Linked DNA regions of Elephas maximus indicus. The protein of the gene in region 2 binds, or shares a complex with, the protein of the main gene of each other region. Links are inferred from orthologs where the notes say so. Each region holds a gene or a part of one and is shown on either strand. Other genes may lie near its edges. The genes, in order: GALR1, GNAO1 and CHRM2.

The links.
Region 1: the proteins of GNAO1 (region 2) and GALR1 are in contact, whole or in part, in a cryo-EM structure (PDB 7XJJ), measured with the Homo sapiens proteins. The link is inferred for Elephas maximus indicus from reciprocal best matches to the Homo sapiens genes GNAO1 and GALR1. Residues at the interface, in NP_066268.1 of Homo sapiens: Ser264, Asn316, Glu318, Tyr320, Asp337, Asp341, Ile343, Ile344, Ala345, Asn347, Leu348, Arg349, Gly350, Cys351, Gly352, Leu353, Tyr354; in NP_001471.2 of Homo sapiens: Thr70, Arg133, Ala136, Ile137, Ser140, Arg141, His226, Leu227, Leu231, Asn233, Ser235, Lys236, Lys237, Ser238, Ala240, Ser241, Lys244, Thr245, Thr248, Leu306, Ser307, Glu308, Asn309.
Region 3: the proteins of GNAO1 (region 2) and CHRM2 are in contact, whole or in part, in a cryo-EM structure (PDB 7T8X), measured with the Homo sapiens proteins. The link is inferred for Elephas maximus indicus from reciprocal best matches to the Homo sapiens genes GNAO1 and CHRM2. Residues at the interface, in NP_066268.1 of Homo sapiens: Lys24, Ile28, Ala31, Lys32, Leu195, Tyr320, Asp337, Ala338, Thr340, Asp341, Ile343, Ala345, Asn347, Leu348, Gly350, Cys351, Gly352, Leu353, Tyr354; in NP_000730.1 of Homo sapiens: Asn58, Arg121, Cys124, Val125, Pro128, Leu129, Thr130, Pro132, Val133, Lys134, Thr136, Ile209, Ser213, Lys214, Ser215, Arg216, Ile217, Arg381, Lys384, Val385, Thr388, Ile389, Cys443.

The regions. Positions count from the first base shown.
Region 1 is NC_064829.1:84,371,177-84,374,918, reverse strand, and holds the start of GALR1 (galanin receptor type 1), read right to left. Parts: upstream 2,503-3,742; coding exon 1,837-2,502; intron 1-1,836. UniProt on the Homo sapiens protein: Receptor for the hormone galanin. The activity of this receptor is mediated by G proteins that inhibit adenylate cyclase activity.
Region 2 is NC_064839.1:23,239,140-23,242,881, reverse strand, and holds the start of GNAO1 (guanine nucleotide-binding protein G(o) subunit alpha), read right to left. Parts: upstream 2,285-3,742; 5' UTR 1,535-2,284; coding exon 1,417-1,534; intron 1,197-1,416; coding exon 1,154-1,196; intron 1-1,153. UniProt on the Homo sapiens protein: Guanine nucleotide-binding proteins (G proteins) function as transducers downstream of G protein-coupled receptors (GPCRs) in numerous signaling cascades.
Region 3 is NC_064826.1:13,076,701-13,080,442, forward strand, and holds the start of CHRM2 (muscarinic acetylcholine receptor M2), read right to left. Parts: upstream 2,231-3,742; 5' UTR 2,137-2,230; intron 1,882-2,136; 5' UTR 1,749-1,881; intron 1-1,748. UniProt on the Homo sapiens protein: The muscarinic acetylcholine receptor mediates various cellular responses, including inhibition of adenylate cyclase, breakdown of phosphoinositides and modulation of potassium channels through the action of G proteins.

The DNA.
Region 1 (3,742 bases), on a different chromosome or scaffold from region 2:
ATCCCTGGTGAAATTCCTTCTGGAATCATCTACCAGCTTCATAATCTGGTGTCAGTCACATCACTCCTCCAAACTCAGTTCCCTTATCAATAAAATAGAGACAACAGTTCCAACCCGTGGGGTTGCTTTGCAGATTAGTGAGATAACGCGTGAGACAGGTAGAACCAGCCTTTGTTTCAAATTTGCGGGACACTAAATATAGAAAGGAGCCTTGGTGGTGAAGACCTAAGTGGTCAGATGCTAACCAAAATGTTGGTAGTTTGAACCCACCCAGGGGCTTGAGGGAGAAAGACCTGGTGATCTGCTCCTGTACAGATTACAGCCTAGAAAACCCTACGGAGCAGTTCTACTCTGTAGACACACGAGTTTGCTATGAGTAGGAATTGACCTGACAGCTCCTAACAACAAAATAAATAGATCCGCCATTTTCCAGATAACTGAGAGTTATTTTCCAAATTCCCTATCTCCACTGTATTTCTTTATATATAATCCCTTGGTGTAGTCATTCTTTCAGATTATATCCAAAATTATTCCCGTTCAAAATATAGATACAACTCTATATTGATGACGGAGGGGGAACCCCATATCAGATGGTTTATGTTAAACATTTTTCTGGAAAAATAAGAATTACTGTTGTTGCTACCACTGTCTTCTATTTATTCAGGGTTCTACAGCCACAGCCTTAGCAGAAATAAAATCAGAGACAAAGAGATGAAGTTAAATTGGTGGGAATGTTGGTGTTTTTCTAATGGTGATACTACTCTGAAAACAATGCCTTGGGAGATATTAGGGTGTAACCCATAAGTCGCCACCATATGGTATTATGTATGAAATCTTCAAAATCTTATGTTGTTCATGAAAGAGCAGGTGTGTTTAGGGAGCTGGCCAGGTTCTGCACAGGGAGGGCAAGAACAGTCTGCCCAGTGAGGAAGAGGCCAGAAGTGAAATCAGGTAGGCGTCCGGAGTGTTTCTCTAGAGTCCGAGATTTAGACTCCCCCTAACCTAACCCTGGTGGTGTAGTGGTTAAGTGCTACAGCTGCTAATCAACAGGTCGGCAGTTCAAATCCTCCAGGCGCTCCTTGGAAACTCTATGGGGCAGTTCTACTGTGACCTACAGGGTAGCTATGAGTCGGAATCGACTCGACGGCAACGGGTTTGGTTTCGGTTTTGGACCTGAACCACTTCATATTGTTTACACAGCCTTTCTAACAGGACTCAAATGGAAACACAATGCCTCCAGTTTCCTTCCTTCCAAACCTCTCTGGACACTCCAGCCAAGACTAAGTGCAGAAATACTGGTTTACGACTTGCGGTTTTCTAAGCTAAACTTGTGTGTACAATAAACTGCGTGGCTCTGCCCCCGAGAGCAGCGGCTTCCCAGAGCCGGGTGTCCGCAAAACCTCTCTTGGCAAGCGCACACCCTGCGCGCCGCGGGGACCGCAACTGTACCACAAGCCCCTCCACCATGCCACCGCGCGCGCGCCCTACGGTCCCTCCAACCCTCATTTCTTCGAGCGGATGATCTGGGGCAGAGAGTTAGAAAGCAGAGCCGGCTCTTCACCAGTTGAGGGGGGCGGGGTGGGAGCGCTGAGCTCGCCTCTCCTGCCAAGGCTGCAGGAACCGAGAGGGGAGGCGAGAGCCGTCTAGGGACATCTGGGAAGTGAAGGGCATACTGTCTCCAACATTTCTCAAACTCCAAATAACTTTCTTGTGCAATCGCTAGCGGCAAACCCAAGCAGAGGCGAGGGCAAAACTGAGTGGAGAAGGCTCTCCACACAGAAGAGCCCAGAAAACAAAAGTGGACGCCCCAGGCCCTCACGCGCGCCGCCCGCCCACCTTGGCATAGCAGAAGCAGATGAGTAGCAGCGGCAGCAGGTACCCGAAGACAAAGGTGCAAACCACATAGGCCTTCTTGTGGCGCTGATTGGGCCACTGCTCCCAGCAGAAGGTCTGGTTGCCGGCGCCGCGGTGGAAGAGGCGCTGGTGGTAGGCCACGGGCGAGGCCATAGCGATGGACAGCGCCCAGATGACTGCGACGCCCACCAGCGCGTTGCGGGACACCCTTAGCGAGGAGGAGCGCCGCGAGTGCACGATGGCCACATAGCGGTCCACGGACATCGCGGCCAGGGTGAAGATGCTGACCAGCATGGAGACGGTGAAGAAGTAGTGGGTGAACTTGCAGATGAAGGCGCCCAGCACCCAGGTGGGAAGCGCGTACACAGTGGCCTGGAAGGGGATGCAGAAGAGCAGGTAGGCCAGGTCGGCAATGCTCAGGTTGAGGATGAACAGGTTGGTGGTGCTGCGCGGCTTGCCCGGCTTGCTGCGCGCCAGCACGGTAATCACGAGGCTGTTGCCCAGCACGCCCAGCGCGAAGATGAGGCCGAACACCACAAGCGTGGCCAGGTTCTCGACGCCGATGCCCAGCAGAGGCAGCGGCTCGGGGCCGCCGGACTCAGGCCCGCTAGCGTTGCCCTCGCTGACATTCCCGTCCGCCAGTTCCATTGCCCCGGCGCCGGGGCGCGGGGAGCGTGAGGACGCCGGCGGTCCCAGCCCAGAGCTGGGCTCGCGTACCCGCGCCGGAGCTGCCCTCGAGGCGCACGACACCGCGCGGCCCCGCGTTAGCTGTGCAGCCGCCGGTGAGACGGGAGTCGGGTGCGCTAGCGGCTATCCCGGGGATGGGGGCGGCCAGGGCCCCGATCCCGGCGGTCCGCCCGCGGCGCCGCCACGGATCCGCGCTGTAGGGACGCGCGGGCTGTGGCCTTGGTGGAGCCCCTCCCACAGCCTTACTAGCTCCACTCCCGGCTGGCGGCGTGCGCTAGCGCCGGGAGTGGCTGCCGGCCGCACCTGTTGCTCCAAGCGCCCTGCTTGCTGCGGCCGATGGCGAGGGCTCCGGCGTGGCGGTACTCCTGGAGCTCCTCCAGGCTCCCCTTCCCTCTCAATGTTTGCGGGGGCTGGAAGGAGTCCACAGAGCGAGAGCGCTTCTACGCTTTCCTGGTTGGTCGGCAGTGTTGTGCGCAGGGGCTCCTTGGTTGCAACTGAGAGGGAGCGAGGACTCCGGCCGGCTAGGTGCCTCCCCCGTCCCTGGGAAGTCACCACGCTCGGTAGGAGGCTGGTCGCGTCCTAATGGGACGGGTCACCGCCTATCTCCCTGCTGGGCTCAGCCGCGCACTCTCTTCTCTGCAAGGCGCGGAGCTCCGGGTTCATCTGGGGCTGCTGCTCGCCTGATGCGGTTACTGGCCCAGTGCGCTGGGAGCTGGACGTGCTTGGGCGTTCTCGGCGCACGGAGGCGGCGGGTGCGCAGCCTTCTTCATTCTGAGGACTGCTCCTTCTCTCCCTCCCTCCTGGGTCGCGGTCAGTGAGAGCGCCTCCTGTCCCAGGAATAAACCCCAAGAAATCCAGGGTTGGCTGTGTCCACGTGCAAAACGAAAATGCGCTTGGCGCTGCCACCTGGAGTTTGGTAAAATTTGCTGCCTAGGCACCTCCACCCCCACCCCCCACGTGGCCAGGAGGAAAACAGAACGGCCTTTTTTGAATTTTCTTCTTAAACGTGTCTGAGAAGGTCAGGGGATATGAGTCGTGTTGACCTCACTCAACTTGAGATCATTTTTGCCTTATGTTACTCATCCAAGTGTCATAAACAGAAGTACTGACATACGAAATATTTGTAAAGTTGCAAAATGTTTCATATCGTATCGCTGCAGTAAGACGTGGCTATGCCAAAAGAAAAAAATTTTTTTTTCTT
Region 2 (3,742 bases):
AGGGCTTGCACCCCTTCCCCACCAGCCACCCCCTCCCCAAGCAGAGCTGCCCAAGAGCTCACCAGGAACTGCCAAGTGGAGTGGGCAAGAAGCCAGCCTGAGAGTGGGAAGGAGGGGCGAGGCTCCTTATTGAGAAAGTGTAGAAGAGAAGCAATATCCCATTTTGTTTTAATTTTCAACCATCACTCAAATCCACCTCCAGTTAATTAGGAGGGGAAACTGATATCTAAGGCAAAAGGGGGCGGCGGCAAGTGGGGCCTGAAATCCGCATTGTGGGTAGGTTACACGGAACACGGCCTATGCAGAGTGTAAATAAACACAATGATAAAGGCCACAGAGTGATCGAAAACTGCCGGCGTCAGGAGAGCAAACGCTGGGAGGGTGGGGGCGGAGAGGGACCGGGGGCAGCAAGGAGGCGGGCATTAAGCCTCACACCAGCGTCCCCTTTCCACCTCTGCCTTGGATACAGCTGTGCCAGTCACATCCGCTTGGAAACTCACTCCCTTCCCCCAACACACGACCCCTCCCCTAATTCTCGTCCTCTGCCCCCTTCCCCACCCTCAACCTTGGCGGTGGAGAGGAAGAGGCAGAAAGTACAGCCTCCAATTCAGCACCAAATCCAAGAACAGCAGACACTTGATCCTGCACCCCAGTCTAGGGCTGGGTCCCCTCCATGTTTTAGCCAAGTTCAAAATCAGTGCCCCAGGAGAAGAGCAGGGGAAAGTGGGATTGTGGACGAGAGGGGGATGGGGGGAGGAGGAAGGGGAATAGAGACAGAATGAAACAGAGATAGAGACTGAAATGGAGCAGAGAGACACACGAAACACCCCACGAGCAGGAGTAATATCATAATCATGCCAATAGTGTGATGTTCTGATCAATATGGCGGACACTGTCATTCATATAACTACAGGCGCTTCCCCCCCTCAAAAAAACAAAAACAAACAAAAAACCCACCCACCCTGGAGTTGGAGTGGAGGACCCCAGAACCAACGTAGGGTGTCGGGGAGGGGAGCCAAATCGAGGTGTGTGTGTGTGTATACATGAATTAAAAACCAGGCCTGGAGAGCAATGTGGAATGAGCAAGGTAATGAAAATGATTTTAAAAATTATTCTTAATAAAAGTACAAATCCCAATGCCACAGTGACTTACTTCATTTGCTTCACAATCGTGCTTTTTCCTGATTCTCCAGCCCCTGTTGGGACACAGACAGGAGGGGGGAAAACTGGTGAGTGTCAGCTTAAGGAAACAGGGGGAGTAGAGATAAGGCATGCTGGGGGTCGGCGACCCTGGGCACATGGTGGTGCCCATTTGGGGACCAGGTCTCCCCGGGAGCGGGTGGGGTGGGGGAGGTGGCTGAGGGAAGTGCGGAGTGGCCGGGGTCGGGGAATGGGGGTGGCAGACGTAGCCCTTACCCAGCAGGAGTAATTTCACGTCTTTGGCGGCGCTGATGCCATCCTCTTTGAGGTTTTTCTCAATCGCCTTGCTCCGCTCGAGGGCGGCTCTCTCTTCTGCACTCAGAGTACATCCCATGGTGGCCCCTTCCCTGCCACAGCCCGCACGACTCGGCTGGCACGGCTCCCCGACTCGACGAGCCCCCCACCCCCCCGGAGAGCAGAGCCTGGCTCAAAGGGGGAAAAAAATCCTCCCCTTGGCTGAAAACAAAAATGTCGGGAGACCAGAACTCCCCCAAAAGACCGCCGCTAACAAATTTCAGCAACGGAGACTCGAGGCAGCTGGCAGGGGTCTGGAGGTGTTGAGACGCGGGTGGTCGGGGTCTGGGGTTCCGGAGCCGAGGGAGGAGGCGGCCGCGGGCCAGGGAGGCGCGGGCTGCAGGCACTGAGGCTTGTGCACCACCCAAAATAAATAGAATAATAGTCGAGGCTGGAGCCGCAGCCGGAGCCGGCGGAGGGTGTGGTGGGGGGCAGGGTGGGTCCTTCTGCCGCTGCTGCCGGAGGAGGAGGAGGCGGCGGCGGCGGCGGCGCGGGGTGTGGAGGGAGTGAGTTAGGGGGTGCCGCTAGTGCATGTGCATCGCCGGCCCTCCGCCGTCGGTGCGTCCGCAGCGCCGTCGCCGACCCCCGCGCGCTGGGCAGGGCTGGGCACGGGGCCGGGCCGGGGGCAGGTCTCTAGGGGGCGGCGGCGCTGCCTCCCAGAGCTCTCATTGCTCGGTGGAGCCTACCAGAGAGAGACGGAGAGCGCGAGGGAGTCGCGGGCAGCCGGGAGCTCGCGGGGGAAGGAGAGAGAGAGAGAGAGAGGCAGGGAGGGAGGGGAAAAAATGAAGGGAGAGCGGGCGCGCGCGCCAGAGCCCAGGCAGCGACGGGGGGTGGCTGCGAGCGCAGCGCGCGAGTGCGCCAGCGGCTCTGCGCACCCAGCACCGCGAGCCGCCCGCTGACGTCAGCAGGGCCTCGCGCTGGGCCCTCGGGACTGGGAAGGCTTGCGACGGAGGGCGGCGGGGGGAGGCGCGCGCACCGGGCCCGCGTCAGTTCGTGGCGGCGCGCGCGCGACGCGGCCTCCCCTCCCCCAGCACCTTCGGGTCTGCGGCTCCCCCGGGGCGGGCGCGTGCGCGGCCGGGCAGGGGCGGGGCCTGAGGCCGAGAGCGCGCTCCGGGGAGCCCCGCCCCCGCCCCGCGCGCGGACTGCGCGGACCTCCTTGTCAATGGGAGCGCGGGGCTGGGTCGCCGGCACGGCGGTCAGGTGGGCCCCCCCTAACCCGCCTCTCCCCAGCTAGCGCCCCGCGCGGCCTCTTTTTCTCTCCGGCTCCCTCTCCATCTTGTCTCCAGCCGCTCGCCTTCTTGGTTACTCTTGGGCTGCTGAGGCCGTAGCAGCCAGTTACCTCCGTAAACGGGTGGAGGTAGTGGGTCTGAATCAACCTGCGTTCCGGATGATTCGCGTCAACGGCCCAGGCCACTGGGCAAATTTGGGTTTTTCGTTTTCTGCGTTACACAAGCATTTATTGAGCACCTAATATGTGAGAGGCAAGGCTGTGAGAAGCACACGGCAGGATGAAAAAAAGCCAGGGCCTGCTCTCCAGGGGCTCCTCCCCGCCTTGCCATCGCTGACCTTGCCTCAGGGTTTCCCGCCGTCACCAGGGCAGGAGAGTTCCCACACTCGGGAAGCTTTGGAGAGGGACAGATTCTAATGCAAGCGTGAGCTGCTTGCAACTGCTTGCTCCCTGAACATAGTTGAAACGCTTTTGCACATTTCGAATGACTTAGCTTGGTTGAGGTCTGTGCACGAAATCTCTCGTCCTGCCCCGGCCACAAACACAAAATGCATTTTAAATATTTTTGGTGAAAGAAGAAGAGATTTTCTTCTTTTATCTTTCGAGCCATTTTTTCCCATCTTAAATAAAGACCCAGAAACCTGGGTCAGTTAACTCAATGAATCAAATATTAAGGAAACAAGTACAAATTTGCCAAAGATTGGGCCTGTTCTGGGTGGTCTCTGAGACTTTGAAGCAGTTAATTCTTACTGCACAAAATGGTTTTACAATTAGTTCCACCAGACAGCCCCAGGGGCCCTTCTAGAGAAAGGGTCCGAGAGGAAAGATTGTGTGGGAATAAGAACGAGTGGCCAGTGGGAACTGTTTTTTCTAACAGTTGGGCATTTCTGTGGCTCTGAAAGCAAACTCAACAATAGGAAAAAAAACCCCAAAAAACTCCAGTTTTGGAAATGTTAACCAGCAAAAAATACATTTGCAACAGGGAAAGAAGGCAGTTAAGGCCCACCCAGAAGAAAATAT
Region 3 (3,742 bases), on a different chromosome or scaffold from region 2:
GAGCGGTCTCCCCAGTGCCTGGCACCTGGACTTCCCTGGGCCGGCAGAGAAAGGTGCCGCCCGGGGTCAAGCCGAGCGGGGCGGTGGCCTGCGGCGCTGCAGCTCCCAGCGCCCTGAAGGCTCCTCACAGCCAGAACGCCGTGTGCCACGTCCCCGGAGCCTGCCTCCACCCCCCAATCCAAAGCCGGGTGTCTCGCCGGTTTTTCCATGGCCCCAGGGTTCCTCTCCCCAGTGCGGGCTGGCTACCCTCCTGGCCACCCTCTGCGGGGCGGCGGGGCGGGACCGCTTGTGCACTGGGCGCCGGCGATGTGTGGCGGCATGTGGGGAAGTGCGCCGGTGTTGCTGTCTGCATGTATAGGGGACGGGAAACCACACGGCTACCAGTGCCACCCAGCGCTAAGAAAAAGAGAAAGAAAAGCAAAACAAACAAAACAGAAAAGAAGTAGGGGAAATAGAAAGTCGATGGGGGATTCTGGGGCTTGAGGCCGGGGAGCAGTCCGGGGGCTGCGCGCTGGGGCGGGCGCACTCGGAGCCCTGGCGGCCGCAGTCTCGGCCCAGCCGTGGCCGTGAAGTGACACAGGGACACGGGGCGGGGACGGCTTGGGCGAGATGACAACCTGCCTGAGGCGCTGCCTCCATCTCTCTGCACTCCTCCCGTCTGAGTGCCTGCCGCACCGGTGTTTCCAGGCACGCCGAGCCTAGACCTCGCGGCCAGGGCCAGGCGGGCTTGGCCACCCGGCCTTGGACGATTTTTGGCTCAGAGAGGTCTCGAGGATGGCGGCAGGCACAAGGGAAGAAGATAGGGTTGCGGGCGCTGGAGAGAGTGGCGGGGTGCGTTCCTCATTGTCGGTAACTCGGGGCATTTTCCGCCGACCGCTCCAGCAGGGCCGCCCCCACCCAGGGGCGCACAGGCCCGGCAGGCGCGCAGGAGGGATGTCCCTGCTGTCGGTCCGGCGCCTTGCCAGCCCCCGTGCTACAGGTGAGTGGCTGGCGCCAGGCCCCAGGTGCTGACGGCGGGAACCAGCGGGGGCCAGCGGCCCTGACTCCTACCCGGAGCACCACCAAGGTGGCCGGGGCCGGTCGTGAGGGGTGGGCGGGGTGGCAAAGCTGGAGACCCTGTCCCCGACTTGGCCGGACAGAGACCTTGTGCGCGGGGACAAAGTGGGATGGGGATCCAGAAGGCCCCCTCCCCGTTTCTGGGACCCTTTCCCCAGTCTCACCCCCCCCCCCCGCCTTTCCTTTTGGCGGCGGTTCACAGCTGCAGCGCCTCGGTCCCGCGACCCAGAGCGGCCGCCCAGAGGGCTTCTCCGGAGGCGGAGGCGGGGACCGCGCGGAGCCGGGCTACCCCGCAGCCACCAACGCGCACGGACAGGAGGCCAGAACCCCAGCAGGAGGGGCTCTAGGCGGGAGAGGCGAAGCTCCGCTTGCCTTTTCCATGACTGCATCTGAGGGGAGAGGGCGGGCGAGGGCGCAGGGATGGCGGCTGGAGAGGGCACGCTGCCCGTGCAGGCGCAGCCCCCGGCTCCCCTCTGCCTTCTCCACGTTCCACAGAACTCCGCGCCCCTTCCTCCCAGACCGGTGCTCGCTGCCATCTGCCCTCCCAGCCCCGGGGCCAAAGTTTCCGTTGACGAGTCTGTACCGAGGGGGACCACTCCCCAACCCCCAGCTCCACCTCTGCGCCCTGGTCCCAGCTCCAGGAGGGCCCCGCGCGGCTTGGGGCTGCGTGGGCACGGGGCGCGGGCTCATACCTGCTCTGGCTGCGATCTGCGGGTGAAGGCTGCGCCAGCGGAGCCCTTCGCCGGTTCTGGGCCACTGGCTGGGGCGCGAGCTGCGCACCGCTCAGAGTCCGGAGCCCGCCGCCGGCTCGCTGTCTCCCTGGTTCTTGCAAGAGAAAAGGCAAAGATGAGTTGGTGCCGCGCCGCCCTGAGGGGTGGGGCGGGGAGAGGCGGGAGAGCAGCCCCGGGCTTGGTAAGGAGCTGCGGGCTCGGGCGCGCGCCGGCAGAGTCGCGCTCCCCGCGCCAGTCCCAGCCGCTTGGAGCGTCTGGAACCCGGTGGCGGTTGAGACTGGAGTGAAATGGACGCTGCCCCCGCCCGCCACACCAAACACCAAAGGAGATGCAAACCAGACTTTCAAACCTGGCTTTCACGGAGAAGATGAGTCGGGAGAGCGAAAGAGAACCGAGACCTGGGTGGACCTGCGAGCTGGGCAGGATTCATTTCTTCACCAAAGTGCTTGGGGAAGGAGTGATTAGTGCGGAGGGCAACACCTACTCCGGGTGCCTCTGGCTATGTCCTAGCGGGATGTGCGATTTCAGGGCTTTGGCCAACCCGCAGACTGGTGTGCATGCGTGTGTGTGTGTGTGAGTGTGTGCGCGCGCGCGCTCGATGGGTCCCTGTGCCCAGGCGCCTTTGGTATGGCAGGAGAGCGCGTCTGTGTTCGTGCGTGTGTGTCCGATTAGCTGCAATGGGCGGACAATTTCTGGAGAGAACATTTACAATTTTCTTTCAATATGACAGGATTAGTTGCTGTTGAAGGCGCTCCTCCAATGAAATCTCCTCTGCTCTCTGATTTGACGGTGCTTCTGAGCAAATATGACAGCCTTTTCTCCAGGTTTCCTTCTGCTCCTCTCCACGTCCATCCCGAGCCCAGCTCTCCATCTGCAATGGATGTAGATCAGAACCTGTACAATCACCACCCCGCCCCCTTGGCCCAGCTCCATTCTTGCAAGTTTATGATCGCTTAGAAAGATTACAACATATTGGCAAGAACTCAAAGCTGATTTCTGATCGCTGAAGATACTTGAGCCCGGTTTTCCAGGTGTTAGAATGAATCCGTTATGCTTTGTAAACATAATCCTGGTAAACTATTCATAGATTGTTGGTTTCTTGGAGGGACATTGGCATTTTTTTTTTTTAACAGGAGTCAATATCCATGTTTTCCTCAACTGTTAGGCATTAGACTACACAGTATTCATGGCGTTTTGGTGGATTTGTGATCTTCGTGGGGGGGGGGGATAAAAATGTTTGAATCAGCTGTAAGTTTTCTTTCTTTATTTTAATGAGAAATTGCTTCCAGCAGAGTACCCATTATTTTTAGGTATTAACCCCATTATTGTTTCACAAATTGCATCTAATCAACTCATTAGATTAAGTAGGCTCTCCAGTGATGATCAGAGAATAATCTGATTCCCTGACATAGCTGATGACAAGACTTGTATTTGTGAAAGCGTGTGTATGAAGTTAATATCAACATATGATATATTTTACAGGCTGCATTTGTCTCATCCACTTTCTGCAACTTAACAAGAAGCGTTGAAATCTTAAATGGAATAACCCGGAATTACGGACATCACCTTTTAGATCACAGAGATGAAAATCAAGTTAAGGATGTCCACTCCTCTGTTAGGTGTCGAAAGGCATGTTGTTGTTGTTGTCAGGTGCCATCGAGTCGGCTCCAACTCATAGTGATCCCGTGTACAACAGAACTAAACACAGCCCCATCCTGTGCCATCCTCACAATCGTTGCTATGCTTGAACCCATTGTTGCAGCCACTGTGTCAGTCCATCTCATTGAGAGCCTGCCTCTCCTTTGCCGACCCTCTACTTTACCCAGAATGAAGAACTTCTCCAGGGACAGGTCCCTCCTGTTAGAATGTCCAAAATATAAGAGACAAAGTCTTGCCATCTTTGCTTCTGAGGAGCATTCTGGCTGTACTTCTTCGAAGACAGATTTGCTTGTTCT